Drosophila melanogaster: one gene and its partners. The protein of the gene in region 4 interacts with the protein of the main gene of each other region in a pairwise test. Each region holds a gene or a part of one and is shown on either strand. Other genes may lie near its edges. The genes, in order: PIG-S, Rabex-5, stac and CG5359.

The links.
Region 1: the proteins of CG5359 (region 4) and PIG-S interact in a two-hybrid assay, tested with the Drosophila melanogaster proteins (one large-scale study listed by BioGRID).
Region 2: the proteins of CG5359 (region 4) and Rabex-5 interact in a two-hybrid assay, tested with the Drosophila melanogaster proteins (one large-scale study listed by BioGRID).
Region 3: the proteins of CG5359 (region 4) and stac interact in a two-hybrid assay, tested with the Drosophila melanogaster proteins (one large-scale study listed by BioGRID).

Annotation. Positions count from the first base shown.
Region 1 is NT_033777.3:24,912,715-24,919,585, forward strand, and holds PIG-S (phosphatidylinositol glycan anchor biosynthesis class S), read right to left. Parts: upstream 5,151-6,871; 5' UTR 5,050-5,150; coding exon 4,995-5,049; intron 4,796-4,994; coding exon of another isoform or gene 3,240-4,795; exon of another isoform or gene 3,126-3,239; intron 3,022-3,125; coding exon 2,931-3,021; intron 2,873-2,930; coding exon 2,733-2,872; intron 2,677-2,732; coding exon 2,479-2,676; intron 2,418-2,478; exon of another isoform or gene 2,346-2,417; intron 2,192-2,345; exon of another isoform or gene 2,120-2,191; intron 1,987-2,119; coding exon 1,792-1,986; intron 1,731-1,791; coding exon 1,113-1,730; intron 972-1,112; exon of another isoform or gene 868-971; coding exon 554-867; 3' UTR 502-553; downstream 1-501. Other genes in the region: sud1 (sudestada1), read right to left, coding at 3,240-4,795, 4,995-5,049; CG11168 (uncharacterized protein), read left to right, coding at 5,938-6,041, 6,103-6,869.
Region 2 is NT_037436.4:1,294,239-1,299,034, forward strand, and holds Rabex-5 (Rabaptin-5-associated exchange factor for Rab5), read left to right. Parts: upstream 1-1,674; 5' UTR 1,675-1,787; coding exon 1,788-1,941; intron 1,942-2,026; coding exon 2,027-2,230; intron 2,231-2,284; coding exon 2,285-2,597; intron 2,598-2,670; coding exon 2,671-4,090; 3' UTR 4,091-4,259; downstream 4,260-4,796. Other genes in the region: CG32333 (uncharacterized protein), read left to right, coding at 1-47; scf (supercoiling factor), read left to right, coding at 4,488-4,796.
Region 3 is NT_033777.3:25,055,420-25,063,049, forward strand, and holds the start of stac (staccato), read left to right. Parts: upstream 1-1,599; 5' UTR 1,600-1,680; coding exon 1,681-1,763; intron 1,764-2,205; coding exon 2,206-2,485; intron 2,486-3,661; exon of another isoform or gene 3,662-3,850; coding exon of another isoform or gene 3,851-4,138; intron 4,139-4,789; coding exon 4,790-5,130; intron 5,131-5,193; coding exon 5,194-5,241; intron 5,242-5,540; coding exon 5,541-5,700; intron 5,701-5,764; coding exon 5,765-6,585; intron 6,586-6,651; coding exon 6,652-6,866; intron 6,867-6,923; coding exon 6,924-7,201; intron 7,202-7,258; coding exon 7,259-7,349; intron 7,350-7,413; coding exon 7,414-7,487; intron 7,488-7,546; coding exon 7,547-7,630. Other genes in the region: CG31111 (uncharacterized protein), read right to left, coding at 1-465, 616-678. UniProt on the Drosophila melanogaster protein: Essential for tracheal development in embryos. Functions with the GTPase Rab39 and downstream of dnd, to regulate lumen fusion between previously separate tracheal branches (anastomosis).
Region 4 is NT_033777.3:9,999,248-10,002,845, reverse strand, and holds CG5359 (uncharacterized protein), read left to right. Parts: upstream 1-1,569; 5' UTR 1,570-1,644; coding exon 1,645-1,906; intron 1,907-1,964; coding exon 1,965-2,224; 3' UTR 2,225-2,273; exon of another isoform or gene 2,274-2,340; intron 2,341-2,477; 3' UTR 2,478-2,531; coding exon of another isoform or gene 2,532-2,668; 3' UTR 2,669-2,820; coding exon of another isoform or gene 2,821-2,948; 3' UTR 2,949-3,002; coding exon of another isoform or gene 3,003-3,010; 3' UTR 3,011-3,075; downstream 3,076-3,598. Other genes in the region: Mical (molecule interacting with CasL), read left to right, coding at 1-93, 152-348, 406-411; Spn85F (serpin 85F), read right to left, coding at 2,532-2,668, 2,821-2,948, 3,003-3,010, 3,085-3,598.

The DNA of each region.
Region 1 (6,871 bases), about 15 Mb from region 4:
TGATATTTTGAAATCAGTCGGAAACAAGACTTATTGGCAATATATGACTCACCCACCGACTGCGTGTCTGGCTGGCCTCCTGCCACGTCTGACATTCATCCGGCAGCGATCTCGCCGCTGAACCTGACCTATACGCGCCGTTCACACGCTGAGCGGACCGTGCTGGTCCGCCAGCAGCCAAGGCATCAAAATACAGCACTCCCAACGTTGAAAACTTTGGGAAAGATTAGTGGCACGTGGACTTGTTTTCAAAGCATTCAACTCTCTATGACAGATCAAAATTTTTGAGTTTTAAATCCATTTCCACCAGGTTTCTTTAAGATCTCATAGACCAAAATGTTGGCACGAATAATTTCTACCTACTTGTTATGCGCGGCAGTCTACAGTTTGAATATGCTGGAATACTATAGAACTGGCAAATCTAATCGACCGCGAGGCCCTGACGATGACATGTTCTACGTAAAACCGAAGTGAACCAATAAATCGCACCAGTAACAGCTTATAAAGAAAATATTGTTTTAATGAGGGATGATACTATTTGGTTATGGTTCGTTTACGACTGCTTCTCCTTCCGTCTGGCCTGCAGCACACCACGCAGCATGTTGAAGGAACTCAGTACAGGCACCATGATGGGCAAGAAGAGTGGAATGTAGATGGCGTACTTCTGCTCGTCCGGGAAGTACAACTGCGCCAGCAGGCTGGCGTCAAAGAATCCGCGCTCCGAGGCCACGAACGCACGCTTGGCCAGCACCGAAGCGTCCGCCAGTCGGTGCTCCAAAAGAGCAGCCTTGGCAGCCAAGATGTCGGCATAGGAATTTGTAATGGCGGCACCCACCTCGTCGTCTATCACAATGTAGCTGATTTGATCTAAACGAGAGGAGGAAGCGATTATTAAATAATATTGTCCAATTAAGGTGGTTATTAAACTTCTCAAGCAGTACAGATTCAATAAAAATAGCGTCAACCATTTTAAAAGCTACTTAATTATAAAGCGGAAATTGCAAATAGTTCATTTTTAATTGTCGAAGAGCCCTGAGTTTTGTATAATATCAGAAATAGGAATAATAAAAATGTTGACTAAACATCCTTCATTGGTATCTTTAAAAACGTACCCAACAGTTTGATGAGGCTCTGGAGCGTGCTGCTTGCTGTGGATATGTGTCGAATGGCACTGCGTCTTAGGTATGCTTCATACTCCCAGCGACGTGGCTCCAGTTGCTCGATATCCACCACCTTAACGCCCTCCATCTGAAGCTCACTGCTGATGTCGAGCAGCTTGTGCAGCTGGTCCAGCATCACCTGCATGTTGTCCGTGGTGCTGACATGGTAGGGAACTGCCTCCTGATCGCTCATGGCCGCAAGGCACACATGCTCTGGCGGATTAGCAATGATGAAGCCACCCCAGGGTGGCGAAATGAAGGCATCCACGTCGTTCCGCGTCAGCCGCTGATCCTTGCTGTTGTAGATGTGAAGCGGAGCGATGTGGCACGGTGGAATGTACACCACCAGGTTGATGGCCGGCTTGTCGGTGGTGCTGGCGCTTAGATTCTGGGCAATCGATGTCAGCAGATGAGGCAGAGCGGTTTCCTGGAGGGCGTAGTGTCGCCCCAATTTGCTCTGGTCGCGCACCTGCTTGAGATCAGCCTCGATGGCCACCCGGTACTTCCACTGCGATCGCACCGTGTAATTGGAAACACCGGACACCTTAGCCAACCAGGGCTCAATGTAAGCTATTGAAAATGTAAATTGGCATAAGTAAGTGAAGACTTTTTGTGGTTTTTCAATACTTACTCTTCACAGCCATTGCTATGTTCCACTTGGCATGGGTGAGTCTCGGTTTCGGATTCAGGACAGAGACAATCACATCGTAGGCTGGTTGCGGAGCTTCCGACTTGGCGCCCATCCGCTCATCGGTACTTAAAATTTGATTTATGCGATACGTCTGCAGGATCTTGGCGTGCAGGAGCTGGGCGATTTTGTTGGAAGCTAGGAGGTGTTAAAACAGCATTATTAGTTTAGCTAACTAATCTTTAATTTACTAGAGTAATTTTAGCTTAGTCCTTGAAATTTTAAGGAAAGGGTTTCATTGGGCATTAAAAGTATTCGAAAGCATTCGTAATCCTCGATAGTATAGTGGTTAGTATCCCCGCCTGTCACGCGGGAGACCGGGGTTCAATTCCCCGTCGGGGAGACCGATAAAATATATATTTCTTTTTAAAACCGCATTATCATGTAAATAATAAATTATGCGCTATACTTCTACTTTTAGAATTATTTCAATAATAGAAGGTGAAGTAACAGACAATAAAAGATTTGAAAAAAAAAAAAAAATGAAAATCTCATTTCTCCCAGACGGGGAATTGAACCCCGGTCTCCCGCGTGACAGGCGGGGATACTAACCACTATACTATCGAGGACCTTAAAAACTTCGGACATAAAAAGCCAACAAGTGTTTCCGTATCATTGCAATAGACTCACGTGTATCACTTCGCATCAGTGCCGATCTTTCGGTGGTTAGTAGCAGCTCCTCCTGCAGTTTGGGCCACTCGATGAACATGAAGTCGCCAACGCTCTGGACATGGTTCTCCAGCAACAGCTTCTCCAGAGCAGCTGGCGTGTGTGCTTCCTGGGTCATTGGCGTAGGAGATAGCTGCTTGAATTCCACAGACCATATTTCTAATGGGAAATGCATGCCGTTTAGAAATATGAATGGATAATGAATTTGCACCTACCATTGTCGCTGAAGGCGTTCTGCAGTTCGGCGATGAGCAACTGGCCACGACTGGTCTGTTGTGTGTAGATGGCCACCTGCACAGCCGTTTTGATCGGAATTTTACTCAGACTCAAAATTTCCGTCGAGGGCAAATTGACTCTGCGATTGCAACATTTAGGTATAATTGGAAAAACGCCGCCAGACATGGTTGACTCACCTGTAGACTGTGGTGGTGCGCCACCACATGGGCACGCCAATTCCAATGATGACCACGATAAATGCTAGTGTAGCCCCGATCCGGAACTTATCTGTAAAGTTAAAGAGAAGTGTTTGATTAGTTCCTGATTTATCGCGGTCGTAAGCGTTCTTTGGGTTCACACTTTATTACTTCGACAAAAAACTATAATATTTTGATTTGTGTTTTATAAAGTTTATTATGTAAATTAGTTTCTGTACAGGAGAACGGTATGAATGTTAATAGTCCTTGACGAGTAATTGTGCGCATGTTGTGAAACAGGATCACATGCTACTCCTTGTAGCTGCACGAAATAACAAAAACAGGTCCCTTTTCAAGGGGCGTGTTGCGCGACACGTATTTGGTGAACTTGGTGGTGCCCTCGCACCGGTATACTATGTTCAGGGCGTTGTCCACCGGCGTGATAGTAAGCAGAACGGAATCGTCCTCTTCCTCGTCATCGTAGTCCGATCGCCTTCCGTCCGTCGGTGCTTTTGCTGTTGGCATTTCGGCGTCGGGTGCGAGGTATGTGATCACCGCTGCTCCTTCTGCCGCGTTCAGGTAGTAAACCAGGTCCAAAGTGTTCTCCTCGCTGGTCAAACCGTCGCCCAGCACTGTGTAGTTGCCGTGGGACCAGCGCTGCAGTTCCACGCTGCATGTTGGACTTTCGGCATCGGTGCCTGCCAAATCCAGATCGGTGAAATCTCGCAGCAAATCAAACATGGCGTGGCTACGGAACAGTTGCAGTAGTTCCAGTATGGTGCCTCTGGCTGTTGTCAAATCCAGCACTTCATAGTTGTGTGCGTTTGCGGGTCCCTGTCTTCGCCACTTCAAGGTATCCGAATCGGCCAACAGCTGCGACCGGGCCAATTCGAATTTCTCTCGCTTGAAGAACTCGTATAAACAAATCTCGGAGTTTTCTTCGATCCGCTTTTGGATGCTCCGGCGGGTGGCCCCCTTTAGATACACGTTGTTTAGAAACAGGCCAAGCGGTGGCCTATTAAGGCCATCAGGTTGCAGGTAATTCAGGCGGGGAAAGGCGCGCAGGGAGTCGGCCACGAAGGCCTCATTGGTATCGCCGTGGAACCATCCGTTTATGGTAAGACGCGGGTAGTCGAATGTAGTAACCTCGCCTACTTGGTGGAAGGAGCGCGAGCCCACCTTGAAGAAGGCAAACTGGTTGTCTTTGGGGGCGATCTTTCGCTGCACTGGAAACTGTGGAAAGCACTGATCGTCGCTACCGAAGATCTCTAGGCATCCGCCCTGCTCATCCGTCCATTCCTCCGCTCCTTCCCAAGGCGATAGATAGTAAATGAAGGCCACTTGTCGGTCCTTAAGCAGATCGTCGTGCACGAGCAGATAGTCGCCGCAGGTGTACATGCTGCAGGAGGCGGACACATAGTCCAGCTTGAGGTTGGTAACCTTCTCCAGCCAGGGACGCACTTGTTTGCGCAGCACCTGCAGGAAGTTGGTCAACAGTCGGCAAGCGGGCATGTTGGAGAGGTCGGCGCTCTGGTAGAACTCATACAAATCCATCTGTTTGCGCGACCACTGCACCTTCTGGATGATCTCGGCGACCAGCGCCTGGCTTTGGCCCTTCTCCAGCATGCCGGGCAGAAGGCAGATTTGAAAGGGATCCGAGAAGACCTGAGCACCGGTTTGCGTCTCCTTGGTCCCTTGGCTCTTCTCCTCCGTCCAGGCTGTTTGGAGCCACTTGGTAAGTTCCGGTTGCTGATACGCCTCGTTCAGGAGCACTTCGTTCGTTTCAAGGATGTCGCCCAGGCGCAAAAGCTTCCTGTGCGGCTCGCCCACCTGATCTGCGGAATCCTCCTGCTCTGCACGACCATCTGCAAGGGCAACATAGTGAATGGGTTTGCATTAAGCGAGGCAAACAGGGGCATACCTTAAACTTTAATTTGGCTATTTTTTACGCACACCAGCACTCACACACGCGTTATCAAAGGCAAAGGCAAAATCAAAGGCACCGATGTGCCGGCACACCTCGCTTTATCGTTTTGGGGCAGATTTCTCACTGTTTCCACTTACCTTCGTCCTTGTCTTTTCTCCTGGGCTTTACTGGACTGGAGCTCGAGGTTTCCATGATGCTGTGAGTCAAATTTTCGGTTAAAAACGTGAATTTTTGCCAGGGAAAATAAAAAAATTGGCTTGTGCAGCTAGAGATGGTAGCTCGGAAATATCGGTTGTTCTGTGCAAGTGTTGGGTAGTTAGCTTATTCCACGCAGTATCAAATACCTAGCTAAAGTTTAGTAGCTAAAAACTTTTGGCATTATATTGTAAACAATAAAGGGCGTATATAAGTAATAATATATAATATAATAATATATTGAAGGCATTCAGCATTAGCATTCAACTCACTAATCACACTTTCATTTTATACTGATCATCACTGATTGTACGTGAGTGTCGTGTGTTTCGTCGTCGCCTCACGCCTCCATCCCTAGCCAATTAGTAACGAACAATTGCTCGATCGGCTCCACGTAAATAAAGTTTAGATCACAGCTTTGTTGATTGCTTATCGCGGTGGCAAATATAGTTATTCGTTTATGGCTGTAAACTTTCGAAACGGACGTGGACATAGCCGGTAAATTAAAACTTGAAGATAAAACCTAGCTGGTGACAAAGAAATTCCAATTGGAGCAGTCCAATGCCGTGGAATGACCTTGGAAGAGGCGGAGCCACCATTCAGCCCTCCATATTATAAACAAAAATACTATTGTGGAATGTTCACAGCTATTTTGTATAAAAAAAATATTTGGCTATCAGTCTGTGCGTGCTAGGGCCAAACAGCTGATTCCGCCTGGCTGCCACCTGATTTGTTGGGGGTGTGAGTGGGGCTGGGGCTGTGGTATTCTGTATGCTCGCGATGATCTCATTGTGTTGGAATCGGAGCAAAAGCTAAACTAAACAACTTGACATGTGTTCTTCTGCTCCTGTGTAGCTACCTAGTGTTGGAGGATACGGAGGAGCAATGGGCAAGGATCAGCATTTGCTGGAGGCTTCGCGAGCCGGCGACATCAAGACGGTGGACAAACTGCTGGAGCACTCGAGCAAACGACATGGCCCGCTGTCCAGGTGAGTCACCAGCAGCAACTGTTGTTATTCCAGGTAGTTTACTACAGGTTTTCCTTTACAGTTTTAGGCGAAGTCCCAGCATCAACTGCCAGGACATGAATGGCTACACTTCGCTGCATCACGCCTGTCTAAATGGGCATAGCAACATTGTACGGCTACTACTCTCCCACAACGCGCTGTTGGATGTGCCTGATATACGTGGCTCGACACCTTTATTTCTGGCTGCCTGGGCTGGGCACCAGGACATCGTCAAGATGCTGTTGATGCACTCGCCTACGGGAGCCAATCCGAATGCCCAGACTATCGAAAACGAGACGCCGCTGCACTCAGGCGCCCAACATGGCCACAATGCCGTGGTGGCCATTTTGCTGTCCTATGGCGCCGATCCTGCCATACGCAACAATAGCTTTCAAACGGCTCTGGATTTGGCAGCGCAATTCGGACGCCTTCAGGTGGTTCAGACCTTGCTCCGTGTTTATCCCGACCTCATATTGCCGTATAAGCGTTTGGAAGATGACAATGAAGAGCTGCTGGGCTGCATGCCCATAAAGCACATATTCACGCACACCTGCCTGCACCTGGCCAGCAGGAATGGGCACAAGAAGGTGGTGGAAACACTGCTGGCGGCCGGCGTCGATGTCAACATACTCACCAACGCTGGAAGCGCTCTCCACGAGGCGGCTCTCTGTGGCAAAAAGTCCGTTGTGGTCACTCTGCTTAAGGCCGGTATCTACGTACACGCCACCGATGGAAACGGACGCACAGCCCTGGACATACTCTCCGATTATCCGCCGCATGTGACCTACGACATTGTGGGCGCCATAAACGGT
Region 2 (4,796 bases), on a different chromosome or scaffold from region 4:
TTATTGAGAAGTTTATGCTGATCGCAGGACTGAAGTACTTCAGTTAACCAGGGCACTGAAGAAATGTCTGAAATGTCTTTAGAAGAGTCCTAGCGAATTAATCAAGTACTAAACACAGTCGGAAGATTCAACTACCAATTTGATAAAATTAAAAAAAAAAAAGATTATTTTCTTATAAGTATTTAATTACAGCATGTTTGTATAGTTTAAAAGTCATATGTTTCATTTTGTTTCTTCGTTTTGTCAAGAGTTTTGTTTGTATAACTGTATATATGGAAAGTTAAGACATATTCTTTTTGAAACTTACAATTTCTAACTTGCTGTACTTTCTGTTTTATACGCCGAACTTTTGAATACACAGGGTACTCATACATAATTCGAAGACAAAATAAGAACCACAGTCATCAGATCAGCCAAATAATTCCAATTGATCAGCGATTGGAACAAGGAATTTATTGAAGCAAATCGTTAGACTTGAATTTTTTACAAATGCAACTCTTTTGTAGCGAATTGAATACACTCAGATACGAACAAATCAAAAACCAAAGAATGTTTAATCAAAAACCTATAACCAAAACCAAAGTCAGCATAATGTTGAAACACACGCGTTAAAGATAATTACATTGTTAGCTGTAAGAGTTGAACGCATACAAAGCAAAAACAAAAGCCAAAGACATCATAAGTAGTGTTAAATTCCAGTTCAAAACTATACACGAGACTTTTTCGAAACGGTTGAATTGCAAATGGGAAGTGAACGAAAACAAGAACGATCATGTTAAGTATACGTAAACTATCGATAGTAGTTGAGCACGGCAAGGCAAGGTTGCATTTTGATGACAGTAGCGAAATAGTATTAGCAATTTTTAAGACTAATCAAAACACAAACAGAGACAAAATGGTTTTTTCCAAATCTTTTTACTGCTAGACGAGAGAACAAATTTAGAAGAACTAGAGATAAAGTAGAGGTAGTGTTGAACTAGTCGAGTTGTTAGTAGTTGAGTGCATTATTGGATCGTCAATTACGAGGAGAGCTGGACGATGCAAAGGTTTGTTTGCAGATTTAAACTTTTCATTGGGGAACAAGATCGGTAACGTAGCGTAGAGCAGTTAGGACAAAAAACTTTGCAAATTTATAGTCTAGTCTAAGCCATAACTCTGTGTTTTCTGAGCTTTTTCCAATTGCTGTTGTGAACTACTACCATTAGCGACCCTTCCAGAAATGCATTCTTTTTACGTGTATAACCGTCCTAAATGTTACTACTTTATCAACTTGCTATGTCGATATACGTGTGTAACTGGTTTTAAAAATGTTTGTGTGCATCTAAGAATTGAATGTGTGTTGAAATGTTCCCTAGGACACCACGATTTTACTACATGTATTCGATCTAATTGTGCAAATTTCCCTAAGTTGCAGTTTAAATATTTTCTTTACGAATAAAATATGCTAAAATCCAATTTTAGTGGAACATAACTGAATAGTGTTTTAATTGTATGTGGGTTTACAGGTCATATGCGAACTACGTTCTTTTTTATCAAAATTATATTCAAAAGAGGGAAATCCCCCTTGTACGAAGCGAACTAGTTCCATTCGATGGGCGGCTACTTAAAGCCGGCGAACCAGCTCATCTCTAACTTTCTGAGCGATGTCCCACCACTGGATAAAAGACCATCTGGCAACGCTGGCAGCAGTAGAATTATTTATCTCCACAATTCAGTCACGAAAACAATAAGCAACAAAGGGACTCCCACAGATAAGGGAGCTGTATTTTTATAGCCACACCTCCGAGATGTCAACGGCGGCGCGACCTCCGTCTTTGCGGCTGGGCCAGCAGGACCTCAAGTGCCGTTCAGGATGCGGGTTTTACGGAACCCCCCAAAACGAAGGATTGTGCTCGATGTGCTTCCGAGAAAAGTTTAATGATAAGCAGCGGAAGTTGAAGCGTAAGTTGAAGCGTAGGTCCCCAGACAATGCTTGCATATAACTCCAAAGCCGATGAGCGTTGAGTCATGAAGTGGTTCTTTACAGAGACGGGTGGCGAGACGGGTCCTGGATCCTCTTCCTCGGTCGCCACCTTGGATCGCCGATCGCCACAGCATGCGCACCTCCAGGGAAAAGTGGAGCAGCAGGTCAGGAAGCCGTCGGACAAGGAGCAGGACAACTTGGGAACCCTGCAAAAGAAAAAGTTTACCGCTGTGCTGCAAAAAACTCTGCAGGCGGGAGCCCAAAAAAGTAATATTGCATAGCCACACTGCCTTTAAATGCTTATACTTGGATATTCCTTAGTTACCCAACAGCGTGGTCATGTGCCGGATCCCACGGAGGGCCAGTTCCTACTGCAATTGCGGCAACTTCGCATTCCCGACGATGGCAAGCGGAAACTCAAGCTTGAAATCCAGCGTTTGGACAGCGACATCCGCAAGTATATGAACGGAAATGGCGGCAAAAACATCAACGAACTATCAGATTTGGTTCAAAACGCCTACACCAAAGTCTCAGACATTGTGCACAACGATCCCAGCTTCGAGATAGCCACCAACGAGGATCGCGATAGTGCCATTGACTTCTTTGAGAAAGTGGTGATGACGCAGAACCACAAGTGAGTCAAGCGGAACGTTGATATCAGAGGAGTACATATTTTTATCTGGGAAACTCTTTTTTTTTTTTTGCAGATTTCTCTTCAGTCCCTATTTCACTACCGATGAGGACAGTGACGTGAAGGTGCAGAAGCGGATACGCCAGCTGAGCTGGATTACGGCCAAGCATCTGGACTGCAGCATCGACGAGGTCAACTCGGAGGCCAGGGATCTGGTTTACAATGCTATATCCGAGCTGGTGGGCATAGATTCGTACTATTCGCCGCAGGAGAAGCTGCAGTGCACTTGGCGCTGCTGTAGGCACATCTTTGAGCTTCTGAAGCGGGCAACTGGAGGACCCGCCAGTGCGGATGACTTCCTACCCGCCCTAATATTCGTCGTGCTTAAGGCAAATCCAGTGCGACTGCACAGCAACATCAACTTCGTTACGCGCTTCACAAACGCTTCGCGGCTGATGAGCGGCGAGAGTGGCTACTACTTTACCAATCTGTGCTCCGCCATCGCCTTCATAGAGAATCTGAATGGCGAGAGTCTGGGCGTCAGCAGCGAGGAGTTCGAGGCTCTGATGTCCGGACAGCAGCCCTACAGCACGCCCTGGGAAAGTGCCCTGTTGGCCTGCGAGAGCCTTCACCTGATATCCGAGAACATGAAGCGAATGGAGATGCTGCAGAAAAGGAACGCCCTGATAAGCTCTGGAATAACTTCATTTGAAAAAGAGCTTATCGATTTCCAAAGAGAGGTGACGGAACGAGTAGACACCGTGATTGCCAAGGCCCCACTCAACCTGCTGCCCATCAAAACACCCGCTTTTCTGATTGGTCAAGCCAGGGCGCACCTTCTCAACGAAAGCGAGGCTGGTCATTATCAAGCGAATATGCTGCACGGCGGCTCATTGACCTCCCAGTCGCTGACAGCAGCCGGTGGGTTGGTAAAGCCCGCAGCGGCGTCTAAAGAATCTGGATTGTCCCTTAAGGATACCAGCATGAGTTCGATGGGCCGTCTGTCGCCACTTCAGCAGAACGTTCAGCCAGCCGATCACCTCTTCGCCTCTCCAATCTTTAACTACACCGCGTTTGATGCCGTCTCGCTCTTGGAGGAGCCTGTGCCCGATGCGAACACAGACGTACTCATGCTGGGCTCCGAGTTTCAAGGAGGCCTGACCAATATCAACTACGACTTCGACTTGTCGGATCAAAGTGGGGAAAACAGCACTGCGGACGAGTCAAAGCTGAATCTCGACGAATTCGACCCCTTGGCGCAGAAGGGCCTAGTTGCCAAGCCACCGCCGCCTCTGCCGGAGACCAGTCTGCTGGATAGCACAACGGATAGCCTTATAGATAGCGAAGTGCCCGGCACAGCTGTCCTGCTTCCATCCCCTCTGAAGCCCGAGGTGTCCAACTACCGGGGCTTCTCAAACTTCGATATTCCCAGCATCTCGTGCAACACGGGAGACTTTAGTTCTCTGGGACAGGACGGCGCGGATGCTCCCAAATAAACGTTTGTTCACTGGGTCACTGAATCCTGCAGCTGTGTGAATGTAAATAAGTTTAAGTGAAATATTGTAGTTAGCCCAACGCTTCAATTCAAATTTCTGCACATATTTATTTGTACCATATTTAACTAGCTTTACAGAAAGGACGTTTAATAAATGCAATCTAACACATACACAAGTTGTATTGTTTTTTACAATAAACGGTTAACTAAGTTTAATTTCTTTCCCAGGGGTAATTGCATGATTTTCAAAAGTCCCGCCAACTGGGCATCACTTATCCAATAATCTGGCAGCACTAGAAAAGTAACAAGAGAGATTGTTGTTTTCGAAATATCTCAATCACACACGATTTATTCTCAGTTTGCCTGCCGAACCGAACGGACGTGAGCGCTCACGAGAAATGGCTAGAACCCGAATTCAGATGCTGCTACTTGTTGTTGCGCTGACGGCGGTGATAAGTGGAGCAAGTGCCTCCAGCATACCGGAAGAGCTGCCCCACAATCCGCTCGAGCACGACCCCCTGCACCCCAGGCACTTCGACGGGGGCGAGCACAATGCCCAGTTTGACCACGAAGCCTTCTTGGGCCCGGACGAGTCCAAGAAGTTCGACAGCCTGACACCCGAGGAGAGCAGGCGGAGATTGGGCGTCATTGTGGACCGAATCGACGAGAACAAGGACGGGTCAGTCACATTGGCGGAGCTAAAGAAC
Region 3 (7,630 bases), about 15 Mb from region 4:
GGGTATTATTTGGAACTGAGGAATCCCGGCGTTATTTAAAATCTTACATGTGAACACACACTTCTTGCGCGGATCCTTGGGATGGGCGTAGATTCGTGTGGCCACATATCCCACGGGATATATCCAGCTCTCAGTGTGAAAATTGGGATTCACTGATATAATCTCGCCCAGTGAGTGGAGTAATACATTATTTAGGTTCATCGGAAACATGGGCTTCTTTTTCCGTACAATTGTAACATTTTTTGGCTTATCTTCGACGGGGTTCTTATGCGAAACTACAGGACTGTATTTCTTTGTGGTTTCAGCGGCGTCGTTTTTTCCATTCGAGACACTGGGTCGTCCACTGTTGGATTTCTCCAAGCCCTCGTGAAACATGAGGCGCTCTATCAAGTAAAGTCTTTGGGATCGGGTCACAGATAGTTCGGCCTGCAGACGACAGATCTCATCCGTGAGGGCGGCGTTCTCCTGAAATTGGTATTATAAAGTTAATAGATCATATAACTTCCCGTAAATGTTTTATGCTATAATGTAAACATATATGTGAGTAGGAATCTTAAGGTTTCTTGTAAATACTCTTAAGTTTGCATAACTTCGCCCTAGTTTCTAAGATCTTACCAGTAGATAACTCTTGACGGAGCGTTTTAAGCTCTCGTAGCGCCGCTTATACTTTAAATTCATTGCTTTTTAATTTATAATTTCAGCAAAAACAAGAGATACGATTTGTTTGTTGTTATTGCCGTGGGTTTGTTATGATTATCGGACTGCAGGGCTGCCATTCGTAAGTTATCGAAATACGGTATTCGGTAGATTCATTTATGTTGGTATATCTTACATACCAAATTAATAAACAAAACTGATCTAATCTAATCTTTGTTTATTTTAAAAGATATAAATAAAGTTTTAAAGGGTGCGAAAAAAACAAACGGAGACGTTAATTCGAATTGAAATTAAGGAAATTCCTAATGGATTTGCAAATCCTCTTAGCCTAATTCAATCTGGCATTCTGACCTTGCAAAGGACTTAATCATGTTAAAAAGTTACTTCCGGCGCTCGGAATTAAGGATATTTGAAAAAATAAGGTATGTTTTTAAAGTAGTTAAATAGTTGCGCACATAATTTAGCTTGGCATCTGAAAATGTGCCTTAAAGTGCGTAGTTTGACCATGGAAGCACCAGTCTGCAAAGGTAGTTACAAGAATACCAACACCTAGCCCTTCAAGAGTATATGTACATAAACAGGTGTGCGTGAGGCTTACCACCATTAGAACCATTGATGATTGGTAACTTCTTAATGGATTTTCATTCAACAATTTCAAGAGTTACAAACTATAAGTTTTTAAAATCATTAGCATGAGAGCTAGAAAAAACGTCCGATCACCATGGCAACAGGTGTCTGTCTGTATGTATCATCCCGTTCCTTCCCATTTCCCCACTTTCGCCCAATGTTAGATACTACAAACATCCATAGCTCATTATAATGTGTTTGCGATAGTGTAGGGAAGAGCGTGTGAATACCACTGAGAAAAATCTACGTCGGAGAGCAGCTTTGGCAATGAATCACATCGTTTGTTCGTTTCGGTTTCGGTGCAAATAAGCCGTTAGTATGTTTCTACACTCCGGTGACACTTGTTGGATTCCGATTTCGATTCAGTGCCTCTGAAGCTAAAAACGCAACATCACAATGGACGAGGAGCAGATGTGGAAGGGCTTCTTCTTCAAGTTGCAGGAGCTCAAAATGAATCCACCCACGGAGCATGAACACCAGTAAGTTGGATGAATAAAATACAGACTCACGCATACCTGTAGAAAACTTGAAAACTCACCGATAGACAAACATTTGTTCGCCAGACGAGCCGAAATGTGTGTTTCTATTTCTCTAGACAAATATGAACATTTTGGAGAACTGGAACTGTGTCATCAGATAAATTAAAGATTATCAAGTGAAATTAACGTGTGTGCGTGAGGAATGGCAAGTGATGTAAGGGAGTGGGGGAAGCCACAGATCGATTTTACCACCCACTCGCAACTAAAACATGACTCAGTTTTAGGGTATTTTTCACTGGGCTTTCAAATACATCTACATAAGCTTGCTCATAGTACGAGTATCCCTAATCGAAATGAAATCCCCATTAAGTGATGACTAGCCAGTGCAGATAATATTTAATGACTTTTTTCGAATTATTTACTAATTGCACTTTTTCCGCAGACTGCAAGACGGAGATGATGGATTTTTCGAAAAGTTTGGATCCCTACTGCGGCAGAAGTCCCAAATCGATGAGGGCGTCCTCAAAAGTTCACTGGCTCCCTTGGAGGAAAATGGCAGCGGCGGAGAAGAAGATTCGGACGAGAGTCCCGATGGCACTTTGCAACTCAGCCAGGATTCGGAGTGCACCAGCATCGATACCTTTGCCACCGAGAGTACACTGGCGTCCAGTTCGGACAAGGATATCAGCACTTCAGTTCTGGACTCGGCGCCAGTGATGAATGTAAGTTTTGTAATTGAGAAATCAGTGCTGTGAATCAGGTTGACAAAGCCATTAAAAGGTCACAACGAATCAGACAATCAAACTGCATTCCAACTGGTGCAACTAATAGAGCTCCAGCTTATACTAAACGTAACCTATAGTTTAATCATAAGATTACTAAATTATTTATTTAATTTAGTATCTTACATACTCCCAAATGCGTACGTTAAGAGATTTTTCATATTTATACATGTGATTCATACGAGCTCTTGTGAATTCGTAAAACTCAGTTTAAGGATGATTTATGGTTTAATCCGCCCTAATATATATATACATATATATTCATGATAGAGTATTGATAATCGCCGCTTTACGAACTCGTTTTGAATTGTTGGGTTAGTATGCACTGTAGCTTTTAGGATTCGAGTGAAAGTACATCAAGATAAAGCTCCGTCATTCAGTTTGGGTTTTACCAGGTCGACTCCCAAACTAGCTATCCACCATGGTGGGTATTGGTGAATATGGATGGCTTTTGAGCCTGGTCACATTCACGTCATGTGTAATTCCTAGGCCCGACTACCGAGGAAGTTGCGACATAGGTCAGTTTTCCAGTTTGCAGCGCGGCGTAACGATCGCCTACGAGTTAATTCAATGTTTTATCTTGTGCCAACATTTTGCTGTTCGCATGTTTGCCGTCTGGGCAGGTGTAGTTTAATTGAACAGAAACCGAAAATGAAGTCGTGTCCATAGAAACGAAACGCTTGCACAATAAACAAAAGAACTTGCCTATATAGTCGGACTGTATAAACAAACCGAATAATGTATACTGACAGCATAAACAAGCACTGCAGAACATGCAAACATTGAAGAACCCTAGAGCGGCCAATTGAAGGGAGGCGGGGAGAAAGCTTAATGTACTTTAGAAAATACATTTTTCATTACCACCTTGAGCTTTTCCTTTTTGTATCCGAAAATAGACCATTTTCTCTTAAGATTGCTTTATTATTGCTCACAAACACTTGGCCATCATCGTGTACATACGAGTATGCACAAATACACCAAGCAATCTGAATCGAATTGAGCGCATACACTTTTTATCTCATGGTCAACGTCAAGATATTTCGGATATCGCAAAGATTTCCCACACCGGACGCTATTGTACTTAGCTACAGACTCTTCTCCGAAGCGGTTGTGTCCAGTCGGTGTTCCTGAGTCCGTGGGTGTCCACGATCTGTCCACCAGCGCATCCGATCGTGCTCGATAATATGTGCGTCTATATCGAATTGTATATTTGCCAGAGAGTATTTGCCAAAAATTTCAATTTCGCTTGCACCTAGAGAAAAACATTGAAAAAGTGGAGTGATCGGTTAGTGGCTGGGTTCGATCATGAGCTACCTATCGCTACCACGTGTTCTGAGCAAGTTCGGCTCCCAAAACCACAGTTCGTCTAACCAAAGTTCGAAAACCAATAGCCTAACTAGATCCAGTACGCGCACCGGATGCGACGAAATCAGACTGCCGCGGAAGGCATCCTCCACCCAGTCGCTCAACAAACCATTCGAGCGACGGATGAGCATACTGAATCGGAATGGAAGCATTTCCAGTCGACACTTCCGTGGTGTCCACAAGCATTTACTTGATTCCCATGCCAAGGCGGTCTGCCACTCGATGACCGTAAGTAGAGAACGAAGTTTGGATGCTATATCTAGATATGGATATATCTGTAATCCATAATGAACTGATCTTAAGAATATCCGAGGGAATCGGTTCATCAGTGCCTCGGTAAACAAAAGCGATTGTATAAGTTCATTGATTTGGCATAATTGTTGAGTCACTCGAGTTAAGTGCACAGAGTATTTCAGTGCTTAAATACATATATTTATGTACTTGTTTTTTTTTTGCCAAAATCATAATTGAAAATTATGTAAAGTGTAGCTAGAAGATACCAAAAAAAAAATCAGCGAAAATGTGAACATTCTAAGAAGTTTATTGATTCGAATTTGGAGCTAAGTCAATATTTATGTTAGTGGATAGTTTATGGGAATGATAAAACATTTCACTGTAGCGAGCATCCAGTAGATACTTATATAGAATGTATCTAAGCAAACATGACCTCAGCTGGGTCTGTTTTTCCAATTTCCCTGCGAAGATTTGTTTATATTTCCGTATTCTGGAATTTGTCGATATTTACTTAGGCTTTGACCTTTAGAGAAGTGACTTATTTCTATTTTTGCTCAAAGAAATTAAAATACTTCACCGATTAGATGGTTTATAAATGTCGCCTGCGTTTTGGGATTAAACTAATTGTTGCCTTTGCTTTTGCAGGTCACAGATCTCTATGAAGAGATATTATTTGAAATTTTCAACAACATTGGCTGTGAAAACAACGAAGAGTGCACAAACAGTTTGGTCGAATTCGTGCAGGATGCATTCAAAATTCCGAACGCCACTCATGAGGAAATTTATGAGGCGGCGCGACTGAAAGAACCGCCCAATGTTAGACTAAATGTCGAGATTATAAAGGCCGAGAACCTCATGTCCAAGGACTCAAACGGCTTGTCCGATCCGTTTGTTACCCTGTACTTGGAATCGAATGGCTCCCATCGATACAACTCATCGGTCAAGCCTGCCACATTGAATCCCATATGGGAGGAGCACTTTTCACTGTGAGTCTTGATTATTTCGTATAAAAACTGATATATATTTGTTAATGTTTATTTTCTTGCTAGGCCAATTACTGAAAATGCTCGAGACGAAGTTCTTATCGTTGAAGTGTGGTAAGTGTGACTTTGTTTGCATATTGAACTCATATAACGCACTCATAAAACCTACGTTATCTGGCTGATAACGTTTCTTGAACTCTAAATTGCACTTATCGCGGATCAATAGGTTTATGGTCTGAAACTAACTAACTCGAAGGTATGGCATCTTAAAAACTCATCATTCTTTTTGAAATATGTTTGAGTAGTTAAAGTAAAGTACGTTGTGTTAGTTTTATAACATTAGAATTTCATGCTAGAATCCCATTTATCTATTTTAACGCATGATTCCCATTTAATATTTTACCTTTTTTCAGGGACTTTGATGCTGCGGAAACCGTCAAGGAAAAAGTCAACAAAATCCTGGATGTTAAGGGTGTGAAAGGACTTAGCAAGCTGATGAAGGAAATTGCTGTAACAGCTTCCTCGGGAAAACATGATAATGAACTGATTGGGAGAGCTGCAATTACATTGAAGGTAGGAAAAGATCTAATATTATCAAAGATCTTAACACTAAAAAAAAAACACACATATCCTTCAGTCTATTCCCGTTTCCGGCCTCACCGTATGGTATAACCTGGAAAAGGGAAGCAAGGGACGCAGTCGAGGATCACTTCTGGTTAATCTGGCCTTGAGTGCGGAGAAGAACAAAAGTGTCGCCGTTCAGGAGCACAAGAACCTACTGAAACTGCTCCTGATGTACGAGCTGGAAACCTCGCAGGTGGCCAACTACTGGTGGAGCGGCAAGTTCAGTCCCAATGCCGAACTCATTCGATCCCAGCATGCTGCCCAGAGTGGGCTAACTCCTTTCGACTGTGCGCTCAGCCAGTGGCACGCGTACAGCACCATCCATGAGACGCACAAACTCAATTTCACACTATTCAATTCAATTCTGGACGTGGTGGTGCCAGTGATTACTTACATGCAGAACGACTCCGAGGATGTGAAAACATTCTGGGATGGCGTGAAACGACTGCTTCCCTCGTGCTTCGCAGTGCTAAGGAAACTAAGATCCAAAAACACCAGTGATAAAAACATAATTAGAGCTCTGAACGAAGTTCTGGATATTCTAAAGAAGATTAAGGAGCTGGAAGTGCCGGAGAGTGTAGACATATTCCCCAAATCGGTGTATGGTTGGCTACACACAAACGACACTGATGAAACGTGCAATATTGATACTGCCATTGAGGATGCTATCAACACGGGGACAAGGGAATGGCTGGAGCACATAGTGGAGGGCAGCAGGCAATCTAAGAACACCGAAACCGATGACGAAAAGCTGCAGTACGTCATTAAACTGATACAAATGGTGCGGTCTGACCTGCAACGTGCAATGGAATACTTCGATAAAATCTTTTACCAGTAAGTTTTACAATTGTGCATCGATGAATCAATCAATCATTTATTATTTACCTTGTTCATTTCCAGCAAAATTCAGCTTAACTATTCCGCTGTACTTTATTTATTTTATGACTCCAAGCTTGCTGAAATCTGTAAATCGATTATAATAGAAGTGTGCAATAATATTAAGAGATTGGATGTGCCAGACGATCAATTCGAATATTTACCCAACCTTGAGAATGTAAATATGGGCACGACTTTGTTTGAAGTCTATTTAATACTCAAACGTTACGTTCAATTAGGTAAAGTACTGAAGTCCTCACTCTTAGCAAATCACTAATTGATTTTTCTGTTTACAGGAGAATCTCTTTGCTCCGAGCCCCTGGAACTGTCCAACTTTTACCCGTGGTTCGAGAGGGGAGTTACCCACTGGCTGGATATTTCAATAATTAAGGCATTGAGTCGCATCCAGAAAGCAATTGATTTGGATCAGCTGAAAGCGGTCGATGAAACAGTGAAATACAGCTCCTCGGCAGTGGACACACTTTCCATATTCTACCAAATCAAGATATTTTGGCAACAACTTGACTGGCCAGAGGTCGAGGGTTCCTACATCTTCGTAGCCAAAATCGTCAATGTGAGATTGAATACAAATATAGTTATGTTATCTTTACTAATTATTATAATTTTACAGGATCTTTGTCGCTGCTGCATATTTTATGCCCAACAGATGTCCCGCAGAGTTGAGAATATTTTTATTGCTGATGATAACAATAAAAATTTCAGTAAGTTCTATTGGAAACCATTTTTTATCATATATTGTTTGTATTGAATTTATTTATTTTATAGTTTTGTCGGAGGAGTGGTGCATAGCGATAAACAACATGGATTACATCCGGCAGAGCTTACCTTCATTCATAAAGGTAGAGGTTTTATTTACCTAAATCAAACAAATTTATTGAAAACAAATAATTTATTTCAGGAACTTAGCATTGATGACATTATCAAGAGATTGGGGGAGTATCGAACTAACTTAGAGGCTGAGAGATGCGCAAGCACCATCAAA
Region 4 (3,598 bases):
ATGAGGAACTGACTATAAGGCAACAGGAACTGCAACTGGAGTATCGGCATGCCCAGCTGAAGGAAGAGCTCAATCTGCGCTTGTCCTGCAACAGTGAGTGTTATAGTTTCCTCTCAAAACTTTGATATAATATTTAATTCCATCATTGCAGAACTGGACAAAAGCTCTGCCGATGTGGCCGCCGAGGGAGCAATTCTCAACGAGATGCTGGAAATTGTCGCCAAGCGAGCCGCCCTACGACCCACAGCCTCCCAGCTCGACCTCACGGCAGCGGGATCAGCATCCACGTCCGCCGAGGCAACGGGCATTAAGCTGACGGGACAACCGCATGACCACGAAGAATCGATCGTGAGTAAATAGGACCTATATGTTTAAATTTGAAATTGACAACACCACTTGTTTCAGATTTGAATAGCCAACTTTCCCTGGAGATTGCTGGTCTGCGAAGTGGTGCATGGACTGTTGAGCCTAAATACTTAAGATGAAACAAGGGAACAGGGGAGAGCGTACCAAAAAGGCAGCTGAATATACAGAATTAACAATACTAAAACCCGTGAGCTGTAACCGAAACGAGCAACTAACTATTCAAAGTGGATAAGCTGGCTAAGAACAATTTCAATATTTATATAAGTAGAGAGCCTAACTAATATGGGAGAAGCGCGCAAGGTTAATGTAAAAACAGGCAGAGATGAAATCAAAACCAAAAAACTAATTTCGCAATTTAAAAGTAGGGATTACGAATGTTTTTGCGAATACCTTTAGTTTCGTATTCGACCTAATTGTACGTTTTGTTAGTCGTTGCCACTGAAATCTGTCTGATTTTTGTATGTCCTATGCAATATGTTGTGTTTTTATTTAATGTAATGTAGTGAGCGTGTGCAAAGGGTATGTGATTTTGAGCAAATGTAAATGGTGTATTTGAGTTTTCTTAGGTTATTTTCACTTAGCGATTGTTTGTCGATTTCTATGTAAACCGTTTGAGTGTATTATTATTTATTTGACAAAGCACCTTCCGCACATCCTCCCGATCAGCACACCCATGTATGTATTATGTCATTTGCCCCCAATCGAAATCAAAGTGAACACAAAGAGATGCACACAAATATTTTCTAAATGCGAGAGCCTACACATAGCGATGTAAGCGAGAAAGCAACCATTAACTGTATACTAACGAAATCATTTAAATTATTGCGTAACTTTATTTATAACCTGCATATATAAAAACATATTTATCGAATTTATTATGTAACTTTTCGATTTATTTTGAATTGAATAAAGATTTTATGAAACCTAAGGACGATTTTATAGTTCTACTTTATCGTGAAGTTTTCCTTAAATGTCCTTAAAGAAATGTTCTTTAATGGGGAAATTCCGCCATCGACGCTAACTTGACGCACATAAAATATTGGCGCGTATTATAAATTTAAATTATCCAGAAAATGAAAGAGGTGCCACACTTCGTTGTTATAAAGTGGCCACACCAAATAAGTTCGGTTATTCGTGGTGACTGACAATTAGGGATTGGCGGGAAAGCCATTTTACCATCTGGTAACACTAGCAATAAGTAAACAAACATAGCAACCAAGATTTTCTTGGTGCTTTCTTAAACACTTTGAAAGGGAATTACGCTGAATTTGACAAAAGATGGCTGACAAACAGTCCACTGAGGAAACAACCAAATCCGTCCAGACTTTAACAGTGCCCAACCCAGCGGATAGGAAGTCGGAAAAGTCGGCGTCAGGAAGTCTGCACTCCGGCTCAGCCGATGGTTTGGAAAATCAAGAAAAGTCGGAAAAGCCCGGCGACCAGCCCACCGCCTATAGCATGCGACCGGCCTTTGGGGAGATGTTTCCCCTGCCCACCATCAAGAGCATAATGAACAACGTTATGGCCGAGAAACTCAAAGGTTAGTGTGAAAATCCATAAATATACTGCGCGTTGCCTAGCAACTTCACTATTTGAAGACAAAACCTATGACAAGGACGTCGCCAAGAAGTGGACCAGTGAGATCGCCGACGAGGTGAACCAGCAGATAGCCAGCAGCTCCCTGGTGAAGCGGTACAAGCACGTGGTCCAGGTGATGCTAGGCCAGGAGCTGGGTGCGGGGGCCACTTACAACTCGCGCTGCTGCTGGGATTGCGACTGCGACACTTCCGTCTCCGAGGTCTTCAGCAACACCAGTCTCTTTTGCGTCTGTACAGTGTTTGGAACGTATCAGTACTAAAACCGATTTCCCACAGAACTAGTTAGACTAAGGATTATACTTTAATGGGGTGAGCTTACATTAAATGGGTTGTCACGAGATGTGTTTTCTAAAAATATTATATAGATAAAATATTCAACAAATGTTGTTTAATTTAATGATAATTTTAAGTATGAAGTTTCTTTACTTCCATTCAAATTTCATCTGCCCAGAGTCTCGTGACACCCCCGTATATTTACATTTTAATCTAAGCAATGCTAACATCTCGTATTAGTAGGCACCGGGAACAAAGGGTTCATCACTTTCGATAGTCGACCTTCGTCGTGCTTCATTGGATGCGTACGTTCAGCGGATTCAGTATGCGGCCCGACATCACAGCCACGTCCAAGTCGCGATCGACGATGAAAAACAGAAACGGATGATTCACAGAGATCTGAATGGGCTTCGATTGGGCGCCGTAGTTGCCTAGAGAGTAAAAGGAAGTGTTTATTGCACTTTGTCTCGTGTTGCAGAGGCTGCAACTGTTGCAACACCATTAGGTTGGGCATTCGCAATGCGTTGCGGCTCAATGCCTCCACTCCATTCCATTCAGGTGTGCTGCAATGCGAGACACTTACGCTTCAGCTGATTGATGGGATGCGTACGGATGGTGACGTCTATGGATTGCTCAATGTGTCGCACGTAGACGCCCTTCTCCTCAGTCATGGGCCTGAAATCGGCGCGATTTGGTTCGAATACGTCGCAGCTGCAACGAAAGTAAAATGAAGCCAGGAACTGGAGCTATTACACCCATGCTTACATTCCCATCTGCAACAGAGAGCACAAAAACCAAAGACACCTCAATAAAAACACAAAAATGCACTCTACAAATGAATACATACATTCTGCAAGTCGTTTGTCAAAAACATGGTGCCGTGCAGCTTGAAATCTGGAATGATGGCTTGCACCCAGCGTGGCTTCAACTGCTTCCGCATCAGTCGAAGGGTTGGTCCCAGTTTCAAGGAGGCGGCGGCTGCAACAATATCCGTGTGGTAGTCGGGCAACAGGATCATTAGGTTGTACTCCGGTGTGTCCAATTCCAACTCCAGCACGCTCATCTTCAGGTGCTCAAAGTACTTGTAGTACAGCACTGCGTTATATACCTTGAAGGTGGTGTGCACCACCTGTTGATTGCCCAAGTAGAATACGTGGCTGATCACATCCGTGTTATAGTTGGACTTTCCCTCGGCCGCCTCTCCGATATAGTGTGGCTCAAAATCATTCGTGATGGGTGCAAAGGCAGCGGGCACTGGCGGCGGAAAGTGCAGCGGGTGGTGCGGGACATGCGTGTGCGGATTGAAGAGGGTCAGAAAGAGATTTGCATCCAGATCCTTGTATGCTGGTATCGCATGACGC